Caenorhabditis elegans: one gene and its partner. Changing the gene in region 2 together with the main gene of any one other region gives a genetic interaction. Each region holds a gene or a part of one and is shown on either strand. Other genes may lie near its edges. The genes, in order: R10H10.7 and unc-54.

Evidence for each region.
Region 1: of unc-54 (region 2) and R10H10.7, changing one suppresses a phenotype caused by changing the other (phenotypic suppression), as found in Caenorhabditis elegans (one study listed by BioGRID).

Annotation. Positions count from the first base shown.
Region 1 is NC_003282.8:10,412,276-10,416,202, forward strand, and holds the start of R10H10.7 (TTI1 C-terminal TPR domain-containing protein), read right to left. Parts: upstream 1,654-3,927; coding exon 1,515-1,653; intron 1,201-1,514; coding exon 1,043-1,200; intron 996-1,042; coding exon 848-995; intron 803-847; coding exon 552-802; intron 504-551; coding exon 175-503; intron 130-174; coding exon 1-129. Other genes in the region: F13B12.6 (SH2 domain-containing protein), read right to left, coding at 2,440-2,637, 3,113-3,464, 3,511-3,814.
Region 2 is NC_003279.8:14,861,349-14,865,275, forward strand, and holds the start of unc-54 (Myosin-4), read right to left. Parts: upstream 2,135-3,927; 5' UTR 2,103-2,134; coding exon 2,040-2,102; intron 1,478-2,039; coding exon 1,349-1,477; intron 1,301-1,348; coding exon 1,160-1,300; intron 679-1,159; coding exon 222-678; intron 142-221; coding exon 1-141. UniProt on the Caenorhabditis elegans protein: Required for muscle contraction.

The DNA of each region.
Region 1 (3,927 bases), on a different chromosome or scaffold from region 2:
CTTTTGCCTCCATTTCGTGAAAGAACAGGGAGTGTGGTAGTATATTGAGAAAGTTGTTTCATGAAGAATAATCGAATGGTTTCTCGATCATTTACAAGAGAAATACACTTTTCTGCCAGTTCTTGGAAGCTGAAATTTGAACTTTTTTCTCGAAATTTGATACAATTCACTCACTATGGATAATCATCATATCGTAAATAAAAGTATTGATTCATGAGAAGATTATAATTTCTTTTTCCAAAAAGCTGTCCGCATTCCGTTTGAATTTTTATTATCATCTGGCACATGGCTTTTTTAACGTCGAATACTCGATGATTAAAACCGAAACTGAGTAAATTTCTCATGTATTCGAAAATGATATCACTTCCATTTTGTCTCCATTCAACAGTTTGATTATCAAACATTTTATGCATTTCCGGATGATATTGCTCCAGATTAATTTTTGATATGTCGAATTTCTCGGCATTATCACTGAATACTAATACAACTGCATCGGTGAACAACTGAAAATATTCTTATACGATGCTTTGGCAATTTACAAAAAAACTCACATTTATGGAATTCTCCATCAACTCTGCATTAACTTGAACTCCTTTCATGGTTTTCATGAGATTCCCCAAAAAACCTGAAATTATCAACGAAATCGTGGGTGCTTTTGATGGAGGACATTGTCGAATGAGCCGGGATACAACTTCTAGAGCCAATTTTCGAAGTTCTACGTCACAAGTTGAATTTGTGATAATTTCCATTGTTTTGTTAATGAGACGTCCTAACGTGAGAATTGAATGATAACTGAAGAAATCTGAAAGAACAAATATTAAGACGATTTTCAAATTTTAAAAGTTGCCTTCATTCACGTGGGGCGATGATTTAAGAACATCGAAAATTTTGAGAAGAAAGTTCAAAACTTTCGTGGCACCAGGTGAGTCTCTAGGAATTGCATCCATATACATGTGGAACAATGGCTGCACATTTGACCAACGAAATCCTGGAAGCTGAAAAAAAATTACAGTTTTAAATTATGTTCAAATCTTCACAAAACCTCATCAAAGGTGGATATCATTTCAAGCCCTTGGTTGAACATTCGAATCAGTGAAATCTTCTCGGGAGTTGTCATTTTTGGAAGAATAGCTTTCGATGAAACGATGATCGCAGCTCCGGCAGTTTGTTGCTGCGTCCGAGAGAATTTCATCTCTTCCACTGAAAAATAATTTGTTTTTCGATTATAAATTTCGGAATTCGAAATATAACCCAGAAGCGAAATTTTGCGATTTTAGCGTCAAATTACGGGTCTCGACACGATCATATTATTGTTATATACACATATATATCCGAAAAGTTGTGCGATTTCAAAGATTACTGTAAATCTTCGCAGCAATGAGAGTTTGGAATTACAGGACTTTTTTTGCATTTGACAAAATTTTTCGTGTCAGGACCTTGTATTTATAAAATGTTTGGTGCTTATTTAAATATTCTCTCTATAGAAAAATCACCGACAAAAATTGCCTACATACTCTGTAGAACAAGCACAATCTCGTCCACGATTTTATCTGTAATTCTCGTTCCATCTCTTTTTGACTGTATTATGAGTGATATACTGTTGGTGGCAGTTTGAAAAAGCCGTCCATCTTCTTCTCGACTCATTATTTCCATCTGAAAAGTTAAAGATTCCAAAAGTTTTATGTCGATGACAATTTTGGAAATACGCCATAAATTAATTGAAGATTTAACAATTAGTTTCTGAAAGAATTCTATTTAACATTCAAAACGAAAGTTTATTAAAAAGAAAAACAGGGAGAAAAACGGACAGATTTTGTGGAAACGTATAAAAACTGATTTTAAAAATGGTCAAATTGAATCAAGACATAGATCAAGAGGGACCCGTTCTTGAATTATTGATGAACTGCGTGAGCGGATGATCGAGTGTTGAAATGAATTGATAAAGAGAAAGAAATGCGAATTTAAAGTAGCTAATAGTCGTATCATTTCCTTTTGAAACAACTATTACATATTCAAAACAAAAATTCAGTGAATCCGAAAGGGCGCACTTGCTTCAAACTTTTTTCAATTCAATACAACACATGAAGGAAGTGAGATCGACGGATACAAAGGGCACGGGGTGTGTTAAATTGGAAGGATGCGGTTGGGTGAGGGTGCTTGGTGATAATTGGAATAAGTTACCTGAGAATGTACTTTACAATTTAACCTGTAGCATTTGAGTGTGATAGGTTTGAACACATGGGATTATTACAAGTCATGAAAAATATTTTTCCGACCATCGAATAACCATATCAACGACAAAAACAGACAGTCATCTTTGAGAAGAGAAAGGAAATGAAAAAAGGCTGAAAGACTTAGTAAATGAGAAAAGAGGAGTGAGATGTGTAGGAAAAAGTAACAGGCATATATATAATAATATAGCGAAAACATCGCAATCATCTAAAATCTTCCAACGGGACCATTCAAAATCGTCGTTGGAATGGTTCGAACGATGCTACGAGATGAATAAGAATTTCCTCCATATAAATTAACTGGTTGAATGGTTACATTAATCAACTCATTGTAATCGGCTGGTTGTCTTGGCTGTCCAACAGCCCACTTCAGTATTTCAGCGCCTTTAGCTGTTATGGGTGCAGTCTGAAATAATTTAAAATTTATTTGAACATTTCTCTGCTTTTCATAGAATTTTTGATAGATTTTAATGTATGAATAGTTTTGTAAAAAATATTACATTACTAAACCATTCAAATTTTCTTTCAGAATTCAACAAACAGTTGATGTTTTGTAGTTTTACAACAAAATGGCAGGATTTTTCAAAGTTGCTATTTTTCATCTGAAAATTAAGTGAAATACGAAGGTTTTGCGTCCAAATTGAAAAAAGTCGAAGTGCGACACGGAAAACTGGGCGGAGTTTTGAGTCTAAAGCGCGGCAATTCAAATGAGGAGATTATCCAAAATTGAAAATTCGGCAAAATTTTTTCTCTAACTCAACAAGTTTTTTAGTTTTTCCGTAGTAGTATATCGGCCTTTTATAATTATTTTGAAGTAAAATCCTCATCGACACTAACTACACCAACTTTAAAAAACCGAGAAAGTTTCAAAAAAAAGTTACCTCATGATAAGCGACCAAATCAAAAAGCTCATCATGAACGACTTGATTGGTTCCCAAAAACTGATATCCTTCCTTAATCTTCTCAACCAGAAAATGTTTGAATGAACCATCACGTGAAGCATAAGATACTGTATATCCCCATATTCGCTCAGATACTCTGACCAAAAATGATCCAGTAGGTTTATGCGTCAAAAGAACTTCAGATTGATCTCTTGAAATGATACCATGGAACCATGGAGCTGGAGCTCTCGTTTTCGGATCCAGTCCAGTGCCTCTTGGAAGTTCTTCTCGTTGGAACCAATCAATGATAGCTGCACGGGACTTTGGCTTTGGTGGACGTGGCAAATTTTTGCTGTAATTTTTTAATATAAAAATTATATGGATGAATGAAAACATACATAGCTTCTCTCAAGCTTCCTGCCTTGTGATCTTTCAGTGCTGGTAAGATACTTTCACTGGTTCGTATCATTTGTTGATGCTTCTCTCTCGCTTTTTGAGCCAACTCTCTTTTAGCATTTTCAGCTTCACGAGCTTTACGTTCTTGTTCTTCCCAATCAGGATTCTGACGATCTTCCATAATTTCAGCTTCTCGCTGAAGTCTTTCACGTTCCTCCACAAGACTTTGAAAGATCTCAGACTCGCGTTTCTGAACTTCTTCAACTTGTTGCCCATCATCCAAACGAGGAGCTCGCATTCGAACACCTGAAATTATTTGAGAAATTAGTATTTCAGGAATTTTTCGGCGGTATCCTTTATCAATCCGTTTGATTTTTCCGTGTTTTTAACAAAAAATTAATTTTTGGGTTTTTGTTAAA
Region 2 (3,927 bases):
CGAACCAGTAATCCTTGATTGGCAAGTCAAGAAGAAGTTCCTTCTTGAGCTCTGGACGGAAGTCAGAGTAGATTTGGTAGAAGATGTGGTAGCAACGCTCTCCTGGAGCTTGACGGATGACACGAGATTTCTCGAGCAAGTCTGCAAAATTTATAGTTTAAAACAATAGTTGCATAATTTTTATTGAGCTATGCTAGAATATAAATCAAAAAGTAACTCACAATGCTCGATATCGCAAGATGCGAGGCGTCCGTGCTTGTTGAAGTGGATACGGATGAACTTTCCGAAACGGGATGAGTTGTTGTTACGGACAGTCTTGGCGTTACCGAAGGCTTCAAGTACTGGATTGGTCTGGACGATTTGGTCCTCAAGGGTGACCTTCTTCTTATTTGGATCAACTTCAGCTCCACCTTCCTGTTGGGAGGCACCGACAGCGGCGAAGTAGCAAATAACCTTCTTGGTGTTCTCAGTCTTTCCGGCTCCAGATTCTCCGGTAATGAGCATAGACTGGTTCTCGTGGTCTTGGAGCATGTTACGGTAGGCTTCGTCAGAGACAGCGAACAAATGTGGTGGCATTTCTGTCTTTCTCTTTCCCATGAACATACGGGCGCAAGAGTCGGTGTAGATTGGGAGACGCTTGTATGGGTTGATGACAACGCAGAAAAGTCCGGAGTAGGTCTGAAATAGGAAACATTCTAGTTTCGATTTTTAAATACTGCAGGATTCAATCCCTTTGTTTAATTTTATGTTCAGTTGCATTCCCTTTAAGTTCTTCGAAATATAGACCCCTGTTACTTCTAACTTGTGCAATGAATCAAGCAGATCTTCTTCATCTTCTTTTCTTCAAACGTTTTTTCTTAGAAAAATATATCCTCACAATACCTTCTCTCTTCTTTGCCATCCCCAATGGCAGTATCTGATGCAAGGGAGCCTGTGGGGCTCCCGTCATCCACAGTGTAATGTAAGATGGTTCAGAGATTCAGAAGAGAGGCAGAGATAGCCTCATCCCACTCAATTGATGAGAGAATGGGATAGAGAGAAACATTTGAAAACGAGAAGAAAAGAAGATAGAGGGAAGGAGTTTCGGGATTTTATGGGAATTTAGAAGAAGAATATGAATGATTCTCAATGCTTAACTTTAAGTTTCAATGAAACTTACGTAGATGAGCATAGCAGCGTAACGGGAACGCAAGTTATGGAGGACAGAGGCGTCGTTGAGGAAAGACAAGTTGGACATGTCTTCGGTCTTCTCGAACTTTGGTGGATTCATTTCTTGAACCAACTCCTTCTTGAGGGTGACCTGAATCACACTACATTGAAAACCGTAATCATTAGCTTAAAAACGAACCTCATTTCCGCGAGCGGTGACGATGGTGACCTGGTCTCCCTTGGTGGCGGTGATTTCTCCGGCAAGGTATCCCTCTTCTGGATCTGGGATCCAGACGTTCTTCTTGGAGTCATAAGGCTTAGATTGATCCTGAAATTACAATAATGGTACAAAAGAGATCAGAATTCAGAAATATATCACTTCTAAAGAATACCAACTTGTGTTGAAAAATGGTCTAAACCGCTTCACACTTTAGACCCATGAATGGAATGGAATCAAAAAGTAAAATCAAGGTTAAGCTTGTGGTGTAGTCAAAATAAATGTGCCGTCTCAAAATACAGTACTACTGCAGCACAATGTGTCACAAAATTCCAAGTGCAATGCAAAAATTTAAGAAAGGAAGATTTCAATGATTTCAAGGGAAAGATGATCTTGAAGCTAAATCTATGAAAAATTAGAAAACAGAAATAAACATTGATTACAAGGATTACAAGGCAAGCTCAAATCTTCTACCTGAATTTAAAAAATCTATAAGTGTAAAATGGCAGACTTTAACTCAGTTGTATGTTAAAAATCTAGAATTTCAAAAATAAATGCTCAGTTTTGTTAAAATTAGATACTTATGGAGTACTATACGATTTACTCTATAGAAATGAGCATAACAATAAAGACAAATGAAAGAAAAATAAATAAATAAAAAATAAATACTCACCTCCAAAACCTGCTCTCTGGTACGGCGGAGATATTGCCATCCTGGGTCCTTCTCGTGCTCCATGATTTCTCGCTTCTTTCAAATGGTTTCTCTACCTCAAAACTAATGTGGTGCTCCCTTAGTCGAGGTTGATGATGCGAGTGATGAGTGCCTGCTTCTTCCTCGGCAGGAGGATGTTGGCACCCGCAAGCCACGCCCCTCTTTGGGGATTCTACGAGGTGTAAAGCTGTGTGCGGCAGCGGCAGCGGCGGGAGAGACGGGAACCCGGCTTCCCGGGAATACACGAAGCGAGAGACGCCTACGCGTAGTGGAGGGTGCCAGAGAAGATAGTGGAAGTCTCAAGAATTCCATTGGAGCACGAAGAAAAAACCAGGGATAGAGATAGATCGGGAGTTGGTAAGATCGGGAAAAATGAATTCAGAGAGTACGGTCGGTCAACTTTTTTTATAGGAAAGTGCAGAACAGTGATAAAAGGAATAAGATAGAATGTTTACATACAACCAGTGAAAATAGAATACCAGTTTGATTAATGGTTCTTAAACAGATCTTCAGCCTCCTCTTGATAATCTTCCACGGTTCACCACTAGATCTTCAGATTTTAAGCAAATCAATACATTTACGACCTAGTTAACTTGCCTTTGCATTACTCTTTTTACAGAGACCAGTGAAAACCGAAAATACTCACTGCAGTATTCTAAGCGGCAAAGCTCTAATATCAACCCTAAAATTGTTGATCTGAAATTGTTTCAGTGCAGTTTTCCTTTAATTTTTTTTGCAAAAAAATCAAGAAAATTGTTATAACAATTCTTTCAAAAAAAAAATCAAAAAAATTTTTAGACCAATTCTCCAAAAAAATCACAATTCTTTAAAAACCTCCCGGAGTGTTTACCTACACTTCCTGAAAAACTTTCAAAGTTTGCAAAAAAGCATTTAGAGCAATTATGCAGGTCTCTAAAGTAGTGGTTAAATGAGACAATTTCAGATCGATATTTTAGGGGTTGAGAGAAAAGTATTGCTGCTTAAAATTTTGCAGTGACATACCTTTCGTGACATAATCTAAAACACTTCAGATGAAACATGTCTCATTTTGAAGTTTGAGGGTAAAATGTAAAAATTTCCTTGTTAGAAATGCATTACAAATAAAGTCTGCAAAATTGATACTAACCTACTTTGGAGTCGAAGTAAGTTTTAAGACTATTTTTATTGATACGTAGAGGAGAGGGGGGCAAAAATATTTAATATTTGATTACGGTACTGCGATTCAATGCTACAGTAATAATTTTGATCAGATGGATTCGAGGTATATCATTGTGGCGGACAATCGATTTGGAGGCACCTGTAATACTTATCAATTCTACTCATTCGAACTTCAAGTTGCACCAATCAATTTTTCGAGCCTTGGTAACTACTATGAAGTTGTCGCGTTTGCTTTAAAAGGTCTCCTGATAATAGTATCTGTCTAAAAATTTACGAAAAGGCTCATAAATCATTCTCATGATAGTATGTATGTAACTGGATAGTCTTTCCGTTTGCTTTATCTTCTTCAAACATTTTCTTCAGATTTTTGTGCTTCTCCAGCAAATCAGCTTCTCTCCAAATCCCACAATCTCATACTTCATCCTGACGAAAACAATTCGCGGATGCTGTAAGACAACACGGGAATATCACGAAACCCCTAGAGACCCAGACAAAAGTAACAACTGATTCTTCGTCTCGCGCTCTCCTTGATTGCAACACTATCTCCAGGCGCCTAGGAGTTTGAAGGCATGTGGGAGCGCTTGGAGCATCCAGCAGCATTTTCTGGGTTCCACCGGGAGGAGACGAGGTTTTTTGATTGTAATAAGAGATACACAAAAGCCAAGGGTCAGTTGGAAGAAATTTCCGGGAT